Schizosaccharomyces pombe: one gene and its partners. The gene in region 1 interacts genetically with each later gene. Each region holds a gene or a part of one and is shown in the gene's direction. Other genes may lie near its edges.

What was found.
Region 2: mutations in eta2 (region 1) and rrp14 together harm fitness more than expected from each alone (negative genetic interaction), as found in Schizosaccharomyces pombe (one large-scale study listed by BioGRID).
Region 3: mutations in eta2 (region 1) and thi5 together harm fitness less than expected from each alone (positive genetic interaction), as found in Schizosaccharomyces pombe (one large-scale study listed by BioGRID).

What each region holds. Positions count from the first base shown.
Region 1 is NC_003424.3:2,999,596-3,006,253, forward strand, and holds eta2 (RNA polymerase I termination factor, Myb family Eta2), read left to right. Parts: upstream 1-2,461; coding exon 2,462-4,171; 3' UTR 4,172-5,321; downstream 5,322-6,658. Other genes in the region: hem4 (uroporphyrinogen-III synthase Ups), read left to right, coding at 1-248; MAP kinase Spk1, read right to left, coding at 255-1,373; cAMP-independent regulatory protein Pac2, read left to right, coding at 6,543-6,658.
Region 2 is NC_003424.3:3,656,470-3,661,470, reverse strand, and holds rrp14 (ribosome biogenesis protein Rrp14-N), read left to right. Parts: upstream 1-2,406; 5' UTR 2,407-2,449; coding exon 2,450-2,464; intron 2,465-2,509; coding exon 2,510-2,593; intron 2,594-2,638; coding exon 2,639-3,004; 3' UTR 3,005-3,660; downstream 3,661-5,001. Other genes in the region: ermes regulator Emr1, read right to left, coding at 754-864, 915-980, 1,033-1,041; iron-sensor Fra2, read right to left, coding at 1,900-1,944, 2,051-2,200, 2,280-2,339; protein mug129, read left to right, coding at 4,114-5,001.
Region 3 is NC_003423.3:3,693,623-3,699,758, reverse strand, and holds thi5 (DNA-binding transcription factor Thi5), read left to right. Parts: upstream 1-2,053; 5' UTR 2,054-2,064; coding exon 2,065-4,638; 3' UTR 4,639-4,795; downstream 4,796-6,136. Other genes in the region: G1 cyclin Puc1, read left to right, coding at 1-186; SPOM_SPBP8B7.31 (acid phosphatase), read right to left, coding at 722-786, 840-959, 1,035-1,286, 1,345-1,426; abz1 (para-aminobenzoate synthase), read right to left, coding at 5,040-6,136. UniProt on the Schizosaccharomyces pombe protein: Transcription factor that activates the nmt1 promoter. Regulation of thiamine repressible genes. Negatively regulates conjugation during meiosis, by inducing negative regulators which delay conjugation. Involved in thi1 regulation.

The sequences.
Region 1 (6,658 bases):
AAAATACAGAAACCCAAATAAAGGATACGATTAGAAAACATCCTACAATTGATTGGATTGTCGCATTCAGTCCGACATCCATTTGCTCTTTATTAAACACATTTGAATTAAAGATCGCAACCATTGGACCTACTACTGGAGATTATCTAAAGAAGCTGGGAACTCAACCGAACGTTGTATCTCCAGCACCTAATCCAGAGAGCTTGGCATCCAGCATAGTTGCCTTTGATGAGGAGAATTCTAGTTGAAGCTTTTTATCTGAAATTTACTTCACGAAATATTAAGGCCTTCAATACCGGTATTTCGAGATCTTCTTTGTTACAGTATAAATCGACGAGGTTGGGAGGCATGGGGGATGCTGTAGGCTCATCACTGGCATCATGATAAGCAGCTACATACGGGTGCTTTAGAGCCTCTTCTGCAGTTATACGCTTATCAGGATTAAATGTCAGTAATTTTTCTAAAAGGTCAATAGCATCTGGTGATGCCTGAGGAAAGAGTGCTTTGAATGATACTTTAGGAGTAAATGGAAGACTTTTAATATATTTCCTCGCACGTGCAGATTTAATTCTTGAAAAATCGTCCATAGTAGGCGTTCCTAGAATGTTAAGGATTAAAGTAATTTGACTATGATAGTCCTTTCCTGGGAACAATGGTCGAGCAGAAAGCATCTCAGCAAGTATACAACCAGTACTCCATAAATCAATAGCTTTGCTGTATTCTCGGAAACTCAGCATAATTTCCGGTGCTCGATACCAACGAGTTGCGACATACTCAGTCATAAAGCCAGGATTTCCGCCTTGAGCTGTGGTGGAACGTGCCAAACCGAAATCGGCAACTTTGAGATCACAATTGGCATTTAGTAGTAAGTTTGATGGCTTCAGGTCTCTATGAACAACTCCAGCACTATGCATGGCTTTCAGAGCGCGCAAAATTTGATACGTAAAGTATTGACAATGATCATCGCTTAAGGGCTGCGAACGTATAACACGGTACAAATCCGTTTCCATAAGCTCTTGTACAATATAAACATCTTCCAATTCCTGGTAGCTCGGTGGTGGAAGGATGTCTAGAATTGAAATTATATTTTCATGACGAAAATGTCTGAGTAACTTGATTTCCCTTAAAGTTCTTAGACAAAACACAGGATGATTGAAAGGATGTATTTTTTTAACAGCCACCTTTAGGCCGCTGGGTTTGTGAAGCGCGGCACATACAACTCCATAAGCACCTTGACCGATGAGATTGATCATTTCGTATTCCTCTGGTAGCTCAAAGTTTAGATCATGCGTGTGTGGGCTTCGACTTGTAGCTACTGACTCCTTGTTGGAATTCCCATCCGCAATAGTAGGCGTGGAAGTAGCGCTCGCCATTAGACTACAAATTGAAAAACTTGAAAGAAATGAAGCGATATGAATAGATAAATAGAATTAAAAAGAATTACAACGTTCTTTGTAATAAATTATGTTATGCAATCCTTTGTGCTTTAAATCCGACAATATTGAAAAAAGTCGGTTTGCCAGCCAAAGACAGAAATAGACAAGGATGTATTAGAAATCCCTTTATCAAATTAGTTTAGTATTAAATTAAATAATGCGAAAGAAGGACGTTCGGCAGCACTTCAAAAACAGGCGCTAGCAACAATAATACAAATATTAGGTTGCAAGCTTATAAAATATAGGAATAACAAAAGAAATAGAAAATATACAAAAATCGTAAAAGGGAAGAATTTCAAAAAACCAGACAAATGTATCTTCGCAATTGAGATTAAAGGCCCACAATGGTTATTCAATAAAAAAATGATGCTTCAAATATTGCCAAGCAAAGATGCCTTGAGGGAATTGCAAAAGCGTCCTTCAAAACCGTCTCTAGCAATTTCTCAATTGCCCTTCCAAAACTGTTGAAAAGCTGTTGGTAATTGTTAAGTAGTGTGGTTGGACTAGTCAACATTTATAACTTACAATAACAAAGAAAGTTTCTTTGTTAATGTATTGCCCCAGAAACTTCATAGATACGAATCTTTAGACAGAATAAAGAAACGATGAGTGACATGAAATCAAAAAAGTAACACACATTTTAAGTGCGCGACGCGTCGCGCATATTCTTTGTTTACACTAACTTACAAACCTTCCATCTACCACGACAGAAATTAAAGGCAAAGAAATGCAATATTTTAAGACTATCTAAATCGAAATAATTAATTTACAAGGTAAGCAGAAACAATTGGTTATGCAAGGATATTTGAATGGGTTCTTGAAGAGGTTGAACAGAAACCGTATGATGGTTGTTTAATTTTATGTTCTCGTAATAATAATCTTATGAAAGTTTAAAAAGCATGAAAAAAAATAGATAAATCCGTTGAAACTCTCAAACAAAAATAGTTAAACATTCATAAATTTCCCTTGGCGTCCTTACTTCATCATGAATTGGCTAACCCGTTATTAGAAGGCATTGTAAATTAATGATGTTAGCTATCGACATGACAATAAATGAAAACCAGGGAACACGCTCAAATTTGGAAAGTCCTACACTTTCATGTAGCAGTAAGGGTGCAATGCAAGAAAGAGACGTTATGTTTACAGATCACAATACCTTCAATATCACTAATAATAAATCTCGGCCTGGAAGTTTAATGAAATCTATGAAAAGAAAAGATGTTTACGAATTTGATGAAGATAATGAGTTTGAGTTTGAAATGGGGTCACTTATACATAAGCCTTCACGTGCTCACTCCTTAGGAGGAACTAGTGAGCCTGTGTCAGATGACCATAAAGATTGTATGGAAGCTACACGACAGTTATTGGAAAATAGTCCACTTTCCTCTGTCGTTGTCAAAACATGTAGTGATCATGCATCAAAGCGTAAAATTGCGCGATCCTCTTCTGACGATTCTGAAAGCAAAGTTGAAAGCACAAACTCTTTCAATGCAAAGAAAAGAAAGGATGCATGGACAGAGGAGCATGAAAAGTGGTTTCAAGCAAGGATTGATGAATTGTTAACGATTCGGTCTATATCACGGGAGCAAATGATCGAGATATTGGAAGACGAACATGCTGGGAGTCGACTTCAAGGGTTTTTAGAGTCAGTAGCATCTTTTCTGAATCGAAAAGAAAATAGTTTACTAAAGTACATGCGTGCTTTTTTTCAAGTCGCCGGTTACGAAAAGATAGACATTGGAAGCTTGGCTGCTGAAGAGGATTCGCAACTTAATTTTTCTCTAGAAGACGCACAAGTGATTCAAAAAGTAGTTTTGTCTTATTGTAATAATGAAGGCGTAGATTTACAAGAGTTTGGCTTCCGGATGAGTTCTTCAAGCTTAAGACATACAAATATCAACTTTCTATACAACGAACTACGCGAATTGCTGCCTACTTCTATTTCAAGAAAAGGAATTATTCGTTATTTGAAGGAAATCTACAAGCCGTTGGATCCGAAAGATAGGAATGCATGGGAGGAAAGTGAGCTAAAAAAGCTGTACACCCTAGTTGAACAAGAGGGAACGCGGTGGAACAGCATAGCGAACAAACTGGGAACGTCACCTGCCGCGTGCATGAGTCAATGGAGGTTTGTTGTAGGTACTAGTACTCAGGAAACAATTGATCGGCGCAAATTATGGACGAATGAAGAGGAAGCAAAGCTATTAGACTTGGTAAAGTCTTCTTACCGGTCGTCTTTTCACACAAAAAAAATGACAAGCCTTTTCACACACAATAATCACACTACTTCAAACATACAACGGGAAATACCGGCATCTGATTCCATTGCATGGCATAGCATATCGAAGAAGCTTGGGACTAAGTCGCCGGAAAGCTGTCGAAAACAGTACGAAAAAACAATCGCATCTTATTCTTCTAACCAACGTCAAGAGGAGGATCAAGGGAAGAAAAGGAAGAAGAGAAAAAAGAAGAAATCAAAGGGTAAACGCAAATTTTACGTCGCGGATAGTTTAAAACTACTAGAACATGTACAAAGGCAATGCGGAGAAGCAATCTCCATAAATGCCATTGATTGGAAAGGCATTGTCAAGCAAATGCCAAAATGGTCCGAGGAGGAATTGAGAGCGCAAGCCACAAATTTGGTAGCGAGTGTTCGCGGCTGGAAAAAGACACGTTTAAGTGAGAGTGTGAGAATCGCAATTACAGATTTGAAAAGTCTTCCTCCTGACGTATAATAACAAATATTGCAGACGAAACGTTAATAAGTGCGCAAGAAAAAATAGTCAAAAAATATCTTTTTTGCTGGTATGTCACGTTTGCCCAGGTCATATTGAATGTTTTTCTTGGCTGTCTCAATTTTCCCACACAATATAATGATATTTCTCATCTCTTTTTGCGACAGGGGCGAAAATAGTTGGACTGCACTTCAAGAGCAACCGAACCCGTCTACCTGCAAAACGTACCTACACAAGAATTCTGCAGCATTAAAGTTTATATGGCAGAGCAATGGAGAAGAAGAGTGAGTCACCTGGTTCCTCTCCACATACTGGATACTGTTGATTTAGGTTCATTTGCGAACCCATCAATCATTTTACTTCTCGACATACTGTTGCCAATCTAAATTACTTTCTTTTCATACTTGTTCCAATTGCTGGTTACCTGATATCCTCTCTCGTCTACCTTAATCCGATTAAGTGCGATGTATTTGCAACATGCACGTGTGCATTGTAACCAGCCTCATTCCGAGCCTTTCCGCTTATTTATTTATTAAATTTTTAATGTATATTCGTTATTTAATTAATATCTAAGCATGGATCGTATGGTTACTAACTTATTTCTTACTTCATCCCTGATAATGACGGATAATAGATGCAAAAATGAATGGTTTGGTGGTGGCCAACGAAACAATCGACACTGCTACGGCTCTACTAAAACAAGTCACGTTCAACGGTTCATCGGCTAATATTAACTCAAAAAAAAAAAAGAATAAAATAAGTATAGTTCGGGGTCCGAGATTTCTTTGATAGTCCCTTGGACATTCTATTTTAGCATTTCAACTAACAACTGAAAGGGCCGGAAAATCTTTGAAATTTTTAAATCTGTTTAACTCATCCCAAAGTAATTGAGTGTCGGAAAAGAAATGGCCCGAACGGTTTTATGAACCGGTCCCTACTAAAGAATAACAAAATTCAAATATTGGAAAGGCAGGTTTTGGTTTTGAACGCAGTTGTTGGATTGAAAATATATTCCATTGTACTTTGTACTTGATAATCAAAGTAATCTTGTTGTTGATCATTAAAGGCGTATCAACAGTGTTGGGGAAAAAGTTTACCTTGAATCTTATCTAGCAGCGGAAACTAAATAATTATATTTATTAAATTGTTAGACCAGCCTAAAACTATCGGGATTAGCGTTGGGTAAGGGATTTACGGAATATTTACCGTATTAGGTTTTTTTTGAGTTTTAAAAATTTAACTCGCTAACATAACCGAAGCCTCGCACATATAAACTATCTTTCAACCTACTTGACTCAACTTTTCCTTCACCAACCGCAGTGTTGCATTAAGCAGCAAAACGTTGTCACCTTCGAATAGCGTCTTTTTGACGAATAAAAAGGTTGGACAACAAAATTAAATTAAGCAAATTTGTGTATAAACTAACAGCAAGTGAAGTTGTACCGGTTGTATGATTGAAGCATTGTAAACCAAAGAACAGCTACTTTGCCTTGTCGTACATTAGCTTTTTCCTTTGCAAAGAACTTTTAGGGACCTTTTTTTACCACAACTAGAGAACCGGTGTAGAAAGGTGTTCTATTTTAGTGAACGGATTCGTTTAATTTTTTCATTGAGAAAAAAATTTGATCTATCTTGATTTTTTCGACTGTTTCCATTTTTAACTATTTGTGACGTTTCTTATTGCCAAATTTCAACCTTGAGCATTGTTAAAAAAGCTGAATTTAAATTTCTTTGCTTTTAACATACAAGTGAGCTATTGGGTTTGTAAAGATTTAATACTTGATTGGAAGTTTTTTTGGTCAAGTCTGTTTTTTTTGGGTGTTTTTTTGACGATCAGTTGAAACCGCGAATAATAATATTTATTATAACTCCCTAAAAAAAGAAAGAAAATCATTTATTAAATAATTTTTACTTTCCTTCATTGTTTCTGAATTTTGCTTCTCCCTGCCGTTTAATTGTTTCATTTTCTTTTAGAAAGTACTAAAAGGTAATCAAATCGGCTAGTCTTGCAACTGAATTTTCTTTGAAGATAATATCTAGATTTAATTTTTCCCTGCTTGAATTTCCTAAGATCTTGCGTTCGTTCGGACTGAATTGCATAATTTATTGAAGGTCTCCATTCCTGTATACTTACTCGACTACCCATTTATCGGTCAAGCTGTATATATACACGCACAGTCAACTTATCTTCTACTTATATTTATAAAACTATTTATTTTATTTCTCTTTAATCCGAGCTTCGTTAGTTGATTCTTTTGATCTTTGCATTGGTAACTAATCCAGTGCGCTTTTTTTTTTGAATCTTCGTGACAGCTATTTTCTGATTTTACTTCATCTTCAAACTACGATCTGATCGGCTTTGCCTTTCGTCATGCAAACTTATACAGGTATCATTAAGACCCCGTTGGATGCGATTATCCTTTTCGAGGCCTGTCGAATTGGTCTTCTTCCACGCGTCCAGCGTCGATTGTCCGACCATGAAAGAAG
Region 2 (5,001 bases), 660 kb from region 1:
CTTTATTTCATCCGTTTAGATATTCTGGGGTTTCTTATGACTATCGAGACGATTTACTAAAGGCATTTTCTGGTTCTTTGGCTGATCTTTGTAAAATATAAAATATTCCCTTTTAACGCAATTTTTTTCCTTTCTGTCTTATTTTATAATGATGTGTCTTTTGAGGCAAGTTCTGTTTTTACTTAATTTTTGCCATGTTTTTTAGACGGACAATGTCTTTAGTCGGGGAGGGTTTGTTTGTATATACTTCATCTAATCATTTTCTGTGAAGATGGAATTTACTATGTTTTCAGCACCTGATTGAATTAAAAAAAAATGGCATTTCCAGTATATTCATCAAGCGTGCGATAGGAAAACATATTAAAGTATTATGTTTTGCTTTATCTTCAATATAATTTCATAGCTAGCATGTGTGGTAAAGTGAAATCTTGTAAATAAAGAAAAGTATTATTGAAATTGGAAACTGGATACGAATGGTAATATGTCTTTGTCAATGTCACATCCGTGTAGGTATATTAGCTGTTTCGTAATTATTATACACGCCAAAATGAGGTGGTATTTGCACGGGCTTTTTAATAGTATAGCTAATTGGCAGCAATTATGCTACTGACACGAATTTGCGCAAACTCAACTTGACACTGTCGAAAGCATACGGATTGAAGAAGCCGGCATTCAAAATAAGACATACTATATCCGTGAGATACAGCTCAAGAAATTTGTAAATCATAAACTTTCATGTGTATTAAATACAGATTACGATAACGCATGTATAGGAGAAGACACTACAGGTGAGGAAATCACCTTTTTTCGCACCAGCCAGCTAAAGAGGACGCTACATGTGATATACCCGATAAGATGAAAAAACTTTAGTTTGTTAGTGTATAATTAATGAATACGATACTTTGTTGACATACTGCTTTACGAGAATAAGAGCGTTCTTCTTCCTCCGTGCGAAAGGATGCAAATATTCGTCTAAGATTCTATAACGTTAGTAAAACAAAATCATTATGACTATGATAAAATTTTGCATACTGGCAGCATTTTGTTTTATATGGACAAGAGAAAATCCCAATTTGGAAATATTATGAAGTATGCAATATGTAATGGAATAAAAGAGAAACGGATGTAGTATTGGAAGAGATATCGATCATATTTATGGTACGAAAGTTTAGAATAGTCTTGAAAAGTTGTTCATTATATTATGTATTAAAAAAATCATTTATACAGTCTTCATTTTCTTGTTAATGAGTTTGTCATTGATATTATCACAGTCGTTTATGCAAAGAAATACTCAAGTTAGAGTGTTATTATTATTTGCTTAGTATAGAACAACTCTTTGATTCTTCAAATTTACAGTTTCGAGTTGATTTTTGAAGTAATCGTAGTTTAACAAGAAGAGCAATTACCTTTCGAGTGATGGAATTATGTGAAAGAAGTATTGAAACATTAGTATGAGATAAAATTATCAAAACTTTTAGGTTAAGAAAACACAATTTGGTGACAAGGGCTAGGTATGCATATTATTTATAATAAATCCTTGATAGATCCCCTTACTCGTATAAACAAAGGAGATCGAACAGTCAAAAATCTTAGCAGCATCTTATACAATTTATGTAGTGCTCTCTAAAAATTTGCCAAAACATCCTATGTATTAGGAACTTTAAAGCAAAAGGTATATATGGTTATAATAAACCATATCTTTTCTCTGGGGCAATTTGACATGCTTCAAAAAAAAAAAAAAAAAAAGAAGGTATTAGTATGTACCTTCTGTAAGGGAATAAGGGGTGCTACAACTATTTTAAAGAAAGTAATTTGTACATTAAAAGTATGCCAATTGCTTTGAAGAGCTGTCACGAAAATAGAAAGGAAGTAAAAGAGAAAGCATTAGAATATGTGGTATTATTTTGCTTGAAGAGCTTCCCATTGTGCCGGACTATAACATTTCTGCATTTAAAGTTAGTAACTGATTAAGAATAGTTGAAAGCATTTTTTTTTTTCAGATTCCTTCTTCTTTTTTCTATCTTATATGCCTGAAACTTAGAGTACGAACCTGAGTAAAGGCATGGATATCCTTGATCACCTCTTGAAGTTTGTGATTCACAAGACGGTGACGAGCTAGCGTGCTTTTCCCTTCAAACAGAGGGGAAACAATGATTACTTCGAAGTTCTGGCCACATCCTCCAGACATATCTTGGATCTCCTATATAAGTATCAGTAAAATGGTTTGCTTAAAGTAATGTGAAACCAAAAAATAAAAATAAAAATTTTGCTCAACGTACAATGTGGGTAGGTTCTAATGTATTTTGTATCAAAAGCTCAAGTTGTTGTGCATTTACCATGTTTTATAAACGTTGTCGATTGAAGTTATGTTATGGTTCTTTTCAAGATGTGTATTCGCTTTCAACCAACTAGGTGTTCTCCTGTCAAAATCTCTAAAACCCTTAAAAAGATGACAGAAGTCGAAGTAAGACATAGACATTAAGTATTATATATTAATTGAGTATATTAGGAAAGGATTAATGCTTGGAATGACGGGTTCGAAGAGCTTTTAAGTTATATCCCTGCAAAGCTCTACTATCGCGAGCATACAGCGGTATGTGAGATATTTGGAATAATTATGTTTAACTGTTCAATTTAGAATCAATGGAAACAGAAAAAATCTACGCTAGAGGAGAAGAAAGAACGCCGAAAAATGAAATTTAGCTTGGATGGTCTTGTTAACGATGCGGACGATGATAGTCAAAAATCTTCAAAGTGGGAACAGTCTTCGACTATGAGTGATGATACAGATGTTTCAGATCGTCATGCTGAAAGCATGTCACAGATCAGAGGTAAACTAGCATCAAAGATTCAGGATTTGCGTGAGAAGAGGAAAGCCGGTGACTTGAATCAAAAACGACAAAATAAGCGTCCTGTCGAGAATGAAAAGGATTCTCAAAAGGGATCAGGAAAAAGCAAGGTTCAAAAGAAGAAACACAAGGCATCTCCTCGTGCTGGTTTCTAAGCTTTGTTGCCTTAAAGAGTAAATTCATCAAAAGAGGCAAACCCTGACAAAAAACTAAAACGTTAATACAAAGGTTCTGGATAATAGAGGATTAAAAAAGTACTATTTTTTTGAGAAAATTATTTCTTTTGTCTTTCGCAAGTTGGTTAAAAAATTCAAGGATGGACGGATACGGTTGGGAGCGGGCTTTTATTTTATTGCAGTTCGATTTAGTATAATTCTTATTTAAATATTCTTTGGTCTTATTTTTTGTATCGTCCTACCATTGTTAACGTTAGTTTTGAGGCATCAAGGCAGCATACCTCACAGGTTTCCAATGCACGCATTGATGATTTCCTGCAAAAATGATTTTAAAGGACAAACGCGTAATATTATAGCCTTCTACTTATCTTTATAAGTGTAAATGTATGTTTCAGATTTTATTTCGCTTCTGCTGTTTATTTTTCCTTCACTAAGCAGTTTAACATATGAAAAGTTGGATTGCTTATTTAGTAAATCTTGTAACGTTTGATGAAGTGGATCGTCAAATGTATTCTTAGAGTTTACAAGAGCAACGCCTTGAGACGTCCCATGGTTTTTTGTTTGTATATGAAAGTTTTTGTTTTAGTATAAGAAGATACAAGCAAAATGAATTGAGCAGACAATTTGTTTCTAGTATTATCATTAGTGCTTCAATAGATGCTCTGTAGTCATACTCAATGTACTTACTATAGTATTTTAGTGTGTATGAGTTTATATATACTACTAGTATCATTTGACTTGACTCATCAGTAGTGCATCCTCAGTTTACTACGACTGCATGCACCGTCTATCATTTCAATATCGCATTATATCTCTTTCCTTTCCGCTGTTTATTCTTTTAATGTTTTTCATTAGGCAAGCTATTAATTATTAATTGATTTTAATTGTCAATACTGCTCACCTTGCTAACATAACCCGTCGTTTGTCATCATCAATAAAACCCTTACTACGGCAACCTCTGAGTATTAGATAGTTCTGTTTTTGTTTTTTATTTTTTTAATCTTTTTTTTATTGTTGATTTTTTATATCTCGCGCGGTCGTTTTGTTTTCCAATTTTAAACTTATCTGTCCAAATAATCAAACTTGTGATGCTATGGAGAATCCTAACTTGCTGCAAGAGCCCCGAAGAAGATAAGGATGAGCATAAGAAGAAACCTCCTAATGTAGGACATGCGCATTTAAGCGTTGTTTCACCATTGAACGAGCTAGCAAGTGAAAAATCAAGATCTAGCTTATGCATAGAGTGGACAATAGATTCTTTGCGACAGTTTGTACAGCAACTTTCAGTTAGACAGAATATGTCAAAAGATCGTCGAGAAGCTTTAACGTATTTTATTAACTCCTACAATGATTTATTTCATGATGTATACTATGGTGATGGTCGATCCATGTCGAAGACGGAGGAAGCACAGACCATAGTGACATTTACCATTGGTTCTTACTTGTACAAATACACCCATCCATCAGAACTGTTTTGGCAAAGGCTTAGTGACAATATGGCAAATATAGAAGATGATGGTACGTGTACGGAGGCTCAACTAGCTTTTCGAAAAAGGGCAGCTTTATCAAAACTTGGGCATCCCGCTTTCCATTTTTTACCAATGAATAATAAGGAGTCCTTTCACTATGCTTGGTCTTTATTCACTTCGACATATTTTCAAAAAGCTGCTACGGTTTCTCCTTCACCTAATCAGCAGCCAGTTGACAGTGTCGCCAATCCTCAATTACGAAAAGCCTCTGAAATTACGACTATATCATCACGCTCAGATGTTGATATTCTACTAGGGAAGTTCAAAGCATTAATACAAGAATCCCCCGATGAGCATTGTAATAGTTGGATTCAAAGAATATATATTACATGCGTTTTACCCAGAAATCACTACATTTATTTATTAAACGAGCAAGTTGATTTTTTAACATCAATAGAAATAATGAAAAATCAAGTTACCGAAGGGAAGCTTTGCCTGTTGAACGAA
Region 3 (6,136 bases), on another chromosome or scaffold:
GACTTGGATACCGTAACATCATATATGGAAAACATGTCAAAGAGGTATGCTAATGAGGAATGTACTGATTTACTGTTTTCCTCACTAGGCCGTATTTCTAGTATTTTAGCAAAGAAATATCCGGAACAATGCGCAATGGCTGCCTGGTGCAACATGACTGAAAAGGATACTGAGCGTACTTTGTAACTTTAACATTGCTTCTTCTTCGATTTATATATATTGCAATGCTTCTAGACAAACATGTAATGGAGATATAATTTCAAAATTATATATTTACTTGAGAAAAGTAAGTGTATAGTGATGTAATTTTTTTTAAGAATTTTTATAAAATTCATTATATTAATCAATTAAACTACTCTGTTATGTTCTTTGTTTTCCTAAACCGGTTTGCAACTATGCTCATATGACATTATACCGTTTGTATATATTTTTGTTATTTATTTATATGATACTTACTTAGTTTGCAAAAAGAAAAGAGAAAGTTCATAAGAAACCCCATATTACAGATTGAAGCAATTTAGGTCTTTAATAGATTTAATTTCTAAATTTGATTCTTCACCCATTAAAAGTAGTATCAGTGTTTCCCAATTTTAACAATGATACTGTGATTAAACAAAATACATCTCAATTCGAATAGAGACTTCTAAATATAAGTTAAAGCACGATAGTTGTTTTCTTAAGATGCAAGCAAAATTGATTAACTTTTCTTTCAAAAGAAAAATTAACCATGCATATGATTTTTTAGAAATGAAAGAATATTTAGTGAGTTTTTTTTAATTTTCTCCACTTGTTTATACCTTGCTCAAAGGACGCACGATTAAGGCCATCAGGAACTAAACAGAATGTAACACCAAGTCTTTCAACCTCTCTGTTCCTAGACTCATCATCAAAAAACACCATTTCTCGATAGTCAATTCCAGATTCGTTGTGGATCTCTTTGAAGTGATCCATTTTACTACCTATTTCACAATAACTAGTTAGCAATATGATTATTGATATTTTCTGTATTGACAAAAATGTATTAAAAGACATACCTGGCCAAGCTTTTACATAAGTGAAAAATTCGATAGCCGGCTTAAGACTTCCATCTATTGGTACCTTCATCAAATTCAATGCTTGTTTCGCATACTTGGGAGCACAAGTACGGCTAGCAACGCACAAAGTAACTTTTTGGTTCCTTAGCTCTTGTAAAATTCCAGTTATATCTGAGTAAAAACAAATCTCTGTGCCATATTTGTCAATCAAAACGCCTGGGTCATTTTTGGAAGGCTTAAATGGTGCAGTGACTGTGAAACTTTGTTAGAAAATAAAACATAAAGTAGATCAAAGTAAAAGATTTAATACCATGGGTATCTATCCAAAGAGGCCACAGAGTGTAGTCTAAGTCAAAAACAACGCATTTTGGGAATTCGATATTTTTTACCATATTTGCTTGATATTTTATGGTATTGGTTATTAGGTTCGTAAACAACAAGAATGAAAGTCTTTTTAAGAGTGATTTCAAGTTCAAAAGATTGACCGTAACGCTTTCAAGAAGTTTACTGCCAGTTTGCTAGTTCGATAAGATTGACACAATTTTAGTTGGTACGTTGATGTAATCCAATTTTTTTTAAAGAAAAATATATATATTCAACTTTTTTTGCATTAGTAATGAAAAAAACTTAGGAAACAAATGTTTGAATTTCATTAACTTTTATGAATTATTATTATTTAATTTAACTGTCTTTGATATTCTCAATAAACAAATAAACTGATACCAAAAAACACTGTGTAAATACCATGTTTTATAAAATTGATCAAAACTGTATACTACCAAATTACAGTCAATTAATCGTTGTCATTAACATATTCATTTAAACAATAAATTTTTTTACTGCATTTAATACATTTATATTAACCTGGGGACTTGACAGAGCTTACTAGCAAATTTAATTTTGCTGATGCATACTATTTAAAATTGAAGTAGCATTGCTACTTACCACCTTCGGGTACCTGTGACCGACAGCGAAATTGATTTACCTATATGAAAATCTTAAATGTAGCAATTGTTATTATGCGAAGTTTATGTGTCCCTCTGACTTTTCTAGTCGTTCTTTGTTTTTAGAAGCCAAAGAGGAAGAGTATAAACAAAGAAGGCGTGTTCCTTTGGACAGTAGAAGAAGAGTAAGGCGGGCATGTCTGTCTTGTCGGGCCAAGAAAATTCGATGCAGTGGTTCTGAACCATGTCAGGCTTGCATTGCTACGCCTTCGCAATGTAAGTATGCTGATTCTTTAAAAGAGCGTACTCCCTCAAAACAATTTATTGCGGAACTGAGTCAAAGGCAGAAATGCTTCGAATATCTGATGGAATTGCTGTGTCCTTCTCTTCCTCATGACACACGTAGTTTAGTCAAACTATGCAAACATGTCGAATCTTCATTAGCTTCTGGAAGCGACGTTCGTTCTTTGCTAATACCCGGGTCAATTGATCAATCTGTTTTAAAGGTTGCTGCTACAAACAATAAAGACGATTCGTCTGCTGTCAAGTCAGCAAACGTTTCTTTTCCTTCTTCATCTACTCCCCCCTCTTCGGATTCAAATTTCTCATCTATTCAAAACACTGATCTTAATACTTCCATCAAGTTTACTGAAAATATATCTGCTAATGCAATTCATGTGAACCAAGATAAGGTTATTAGAAGTGCCAATAATTTAATAATCAATTCCCAACCCATACTTCCTGTACGTTCATTCTTAGATGCTCTAGGAGAACCCATATATTTAAGTCCGACGTCAAGCACTTATTTTTTAAATTCTGTTTTAGCATCCTTACAGTTAAATTCAAGCAATACCCCAGAATCACTGCTCATTGACTATCAAAGTAAAATTCCGGAGGATCTCTCTTCCTCTTTATTGCCTTTAGAACTAAACACACTTCAATCGACCCCTACTTCAGTATCTGTAGGTTCAGCTTCTTCACAAGGAACTCATGAATATTCAATTATAAATTTGACCTCCAATCACTCATCTTTTTCATTAAAAGCTCTAAAGAAAATAGCACATAATTTGTTACCACCGGTTTCTGTCGCAGAACGTTATGCAAATGAGTTTTTCCTCCGGTATCAAAGTTTTTTTTACTTTTATCCTCCATCTGTTTTTTCTAACCGTTACCAAATCCTTGCAGATGGTTTAGTTAACTCAGATACGTTGGATACAGGATTTCTTGCTGTTGCTCTTTTAATTGTTGTGCTTGGTCACTTCTCAAATAACAACATTAATGTATTGCCCAAGGAAGTTCAGCTTAGTCATATTGATTCAATGATACAGATTTCAGAGCAATTAATTAGCTCTTTATTAAATCGCTGTACCCTTTCTTCTATTCAAGCTGTCTTTTTACTTTCACTATATCATTTTTTAACTGGAAATTTTAAATGTGCATATTCTTATTTAGGTTTTGCAATACATTCCGCGCATACCCTTGGTTTGGAGCATGGTTCAACTGATAACAGCACATTAAATGAAGTTTCAACTGAGGAGACTAGTATTCGCATATGCTGGTCCTTACGTGTTTTAGCCAGTTTTTTGTACATACAGTCTGGAATTACTCCTATCATAAATTTATTTCCAAATGGTCTGAATTCTTTAAAACTTCCTACCGTTGTCCCGGAGCTGGAGGCTCGACATTTACCTTCATCCGTTTTTCATTTTGTCGCTATAATAAAATACGCTGAGATCTCCGTACGGTCTCTAAATTCACTGTATGAATCAAGTTCTGATTATTTGATGGATGTCTCAAATTTTCCTAAATTACTATTAAAAGTTGAAAGAATCTACTCCCAAGCTCGTAATTGGAAGTTAAACTTAACCCATCAACAGCTTAATGGAACGAATGACACTTCAGATCTCCTTTTTCATTCCAACGTTAGCTTACATTTATTTTATCACTACCTAATTGTCAAGGTAAGTTGTCCCATTATGTTTTTCTATTTAAATAATTGGTATTCTGTTAAACCTTCTTCATTTACGAAAGGCCTTAACAATAAACCAAGCTTGGAAGATGTGTTTTCCAATTTGGAAACCTGCTATGAGTCTGCAAAGGCAATTGTTCAGTTATCATCGAAATTGTTATCTGCTGGTCAGATGGACAAGTGTTTTTATTTGGAGTTTGAAATTTTATACTGTTCGGCAATTGTGTTATTTTTATTCTCAGTTATGCACCTTGGTGCAGAAAACCCATTACTTGAAAGTATTTATTTACTGGAAGATATGGGATCACGTACTATCGATTCAAAGGTTCGACTTGAAAAGCTTAAGAGTGCAATCGAAATATTTGATATAAACTCAGCTACTGAAATGCCTATAAACGAGCCATTATCCGCTTCTTTTGAATCAGTCAACAAAGAAAACAGCCAGAGTGGATATATGGCTTGGCAAAATTGGGTTACAGAATTAAGCTCGTCTAACATTCCTTTAGGTCATGCTTTGGGTAATCCTGAGTCGAACAATTCATCTAACTCGTTCAAACCTTCTCATCCATCTCAAAGTTTTTTGGTCAATGAATCACTCGATTTTTCTTCGAATCCTAAGGAGCCTCCATTCCTTCCGTGGTCCGAAGCATTGCTAAATATGGATATGCAATTGAATCGTTTAGGACCATAATGATCTTATTGTTTAAACATAAGTTTTATTTTGAACGTTTTCGTTTTGTTACATATTGTTATACTTATACTTCATTATCATTAATAATGCTAACTCTAAATAAAAACTTTTTAGTCTATAATAATATTTGGACCGCTAGCTATATTGACTGTTCCGTATTTCTTTAACATAGTCTTGAAGTAGCAATACTGCTGATTTTGTAATTTTATAATGTTTTTAAAAAAAATGAATAAACTGTCATTAAAACGCTTCATGAAACTATCAGTAACATCAATTTTGCCGTAATAAAAGTTTTGTTATAACCGATATCTATACGATTCTTGAAGGAAGTGTCAATTTTTTTTTTATATTAGTATTAACGATTGAAAATGAACAAAATAAACAACAGCATCCAACAATAATCATTTACATGATCTTTTTTTATTTTTAAGATTCACAAAAGCTGGTAAGATACTGTTAGCTTTTAAAACCATTTCCTCATATTCCCCTTCAGGCGAACTAAGAATAGTAACAGCACCTCCAGCACCTATTCTCCAATAATCATCAGCTTTGTACTTAAATGCTGATCGGATAATAACGTTGAACTCAGCAGAACCTGTTACATCCCAATAACCAAGCGTGCCAGAATAAATTCCTCGACCATGTTGCTCCAAAGGTTCAAGCATCCTCACGCTTCTTAACTTAGGAGCCCCAGTCATTGAACCGGGAGGAAAACTTTTTGACAAAACATCCCATGCAGTTATTGGGGACTCAATTCTTCCATATATATTTGATAAAAGTGAGTATACATTTGAGTGTTCTTCAACAGAGTATAGTTCAGGTACATGAACACTATTTTTTTTTGCCAACTGATGCAAGTCATTACGAATGAGATCTATAATCATGTTCAATTCCCCCATATCTTTTTCATTTAATAGCTTCTTTCTTGCTTCCTCCAAAGACATGTGTCCCTCTCTTTTTAAAGTTCCTTTTATGGGTGAAAATAGGCAACGATCGTCTCGAAATTGTAAGAATCTTTCTGGAGAACAACAGAGTAGAGTAAAATGGTTCAACCTTACAAAACCTGCAAACGTAGCAGGATTTAAAGACCTTGCGCGCATATACATCTCAAAATCAGAAAGCTCTGGAGGTGCCGAAACAAATGTCGTATCCGTTAAGCACATTTCATAAGAATCACCGGCCAAGAGATGTTCTTGGCAGGCTTTCACAGATTCACAGTATACCTCCTTTTTTGGAAAACTTTGAACCAGGCCAAAATTTTGCTTCCCATCGAAACTATGTAAGCAAGATAGGTTATCCAGCTTTGTGTTACAAGTGGAAGCTAACAATTCGCCCCACCACTCAGAACAAGTCTCATTTAAAGGAGTAAGAGTCTGAACGAATAATTTTTTAATCTCCAAGTCGAACACAAAGGATCGATCAACAAAAGCAAGTTCGGCATCAACTGTGGTTTGTTGGAAGTCCAAAGGAAAAGAGGCATTTGAAACAGACTTTGTAG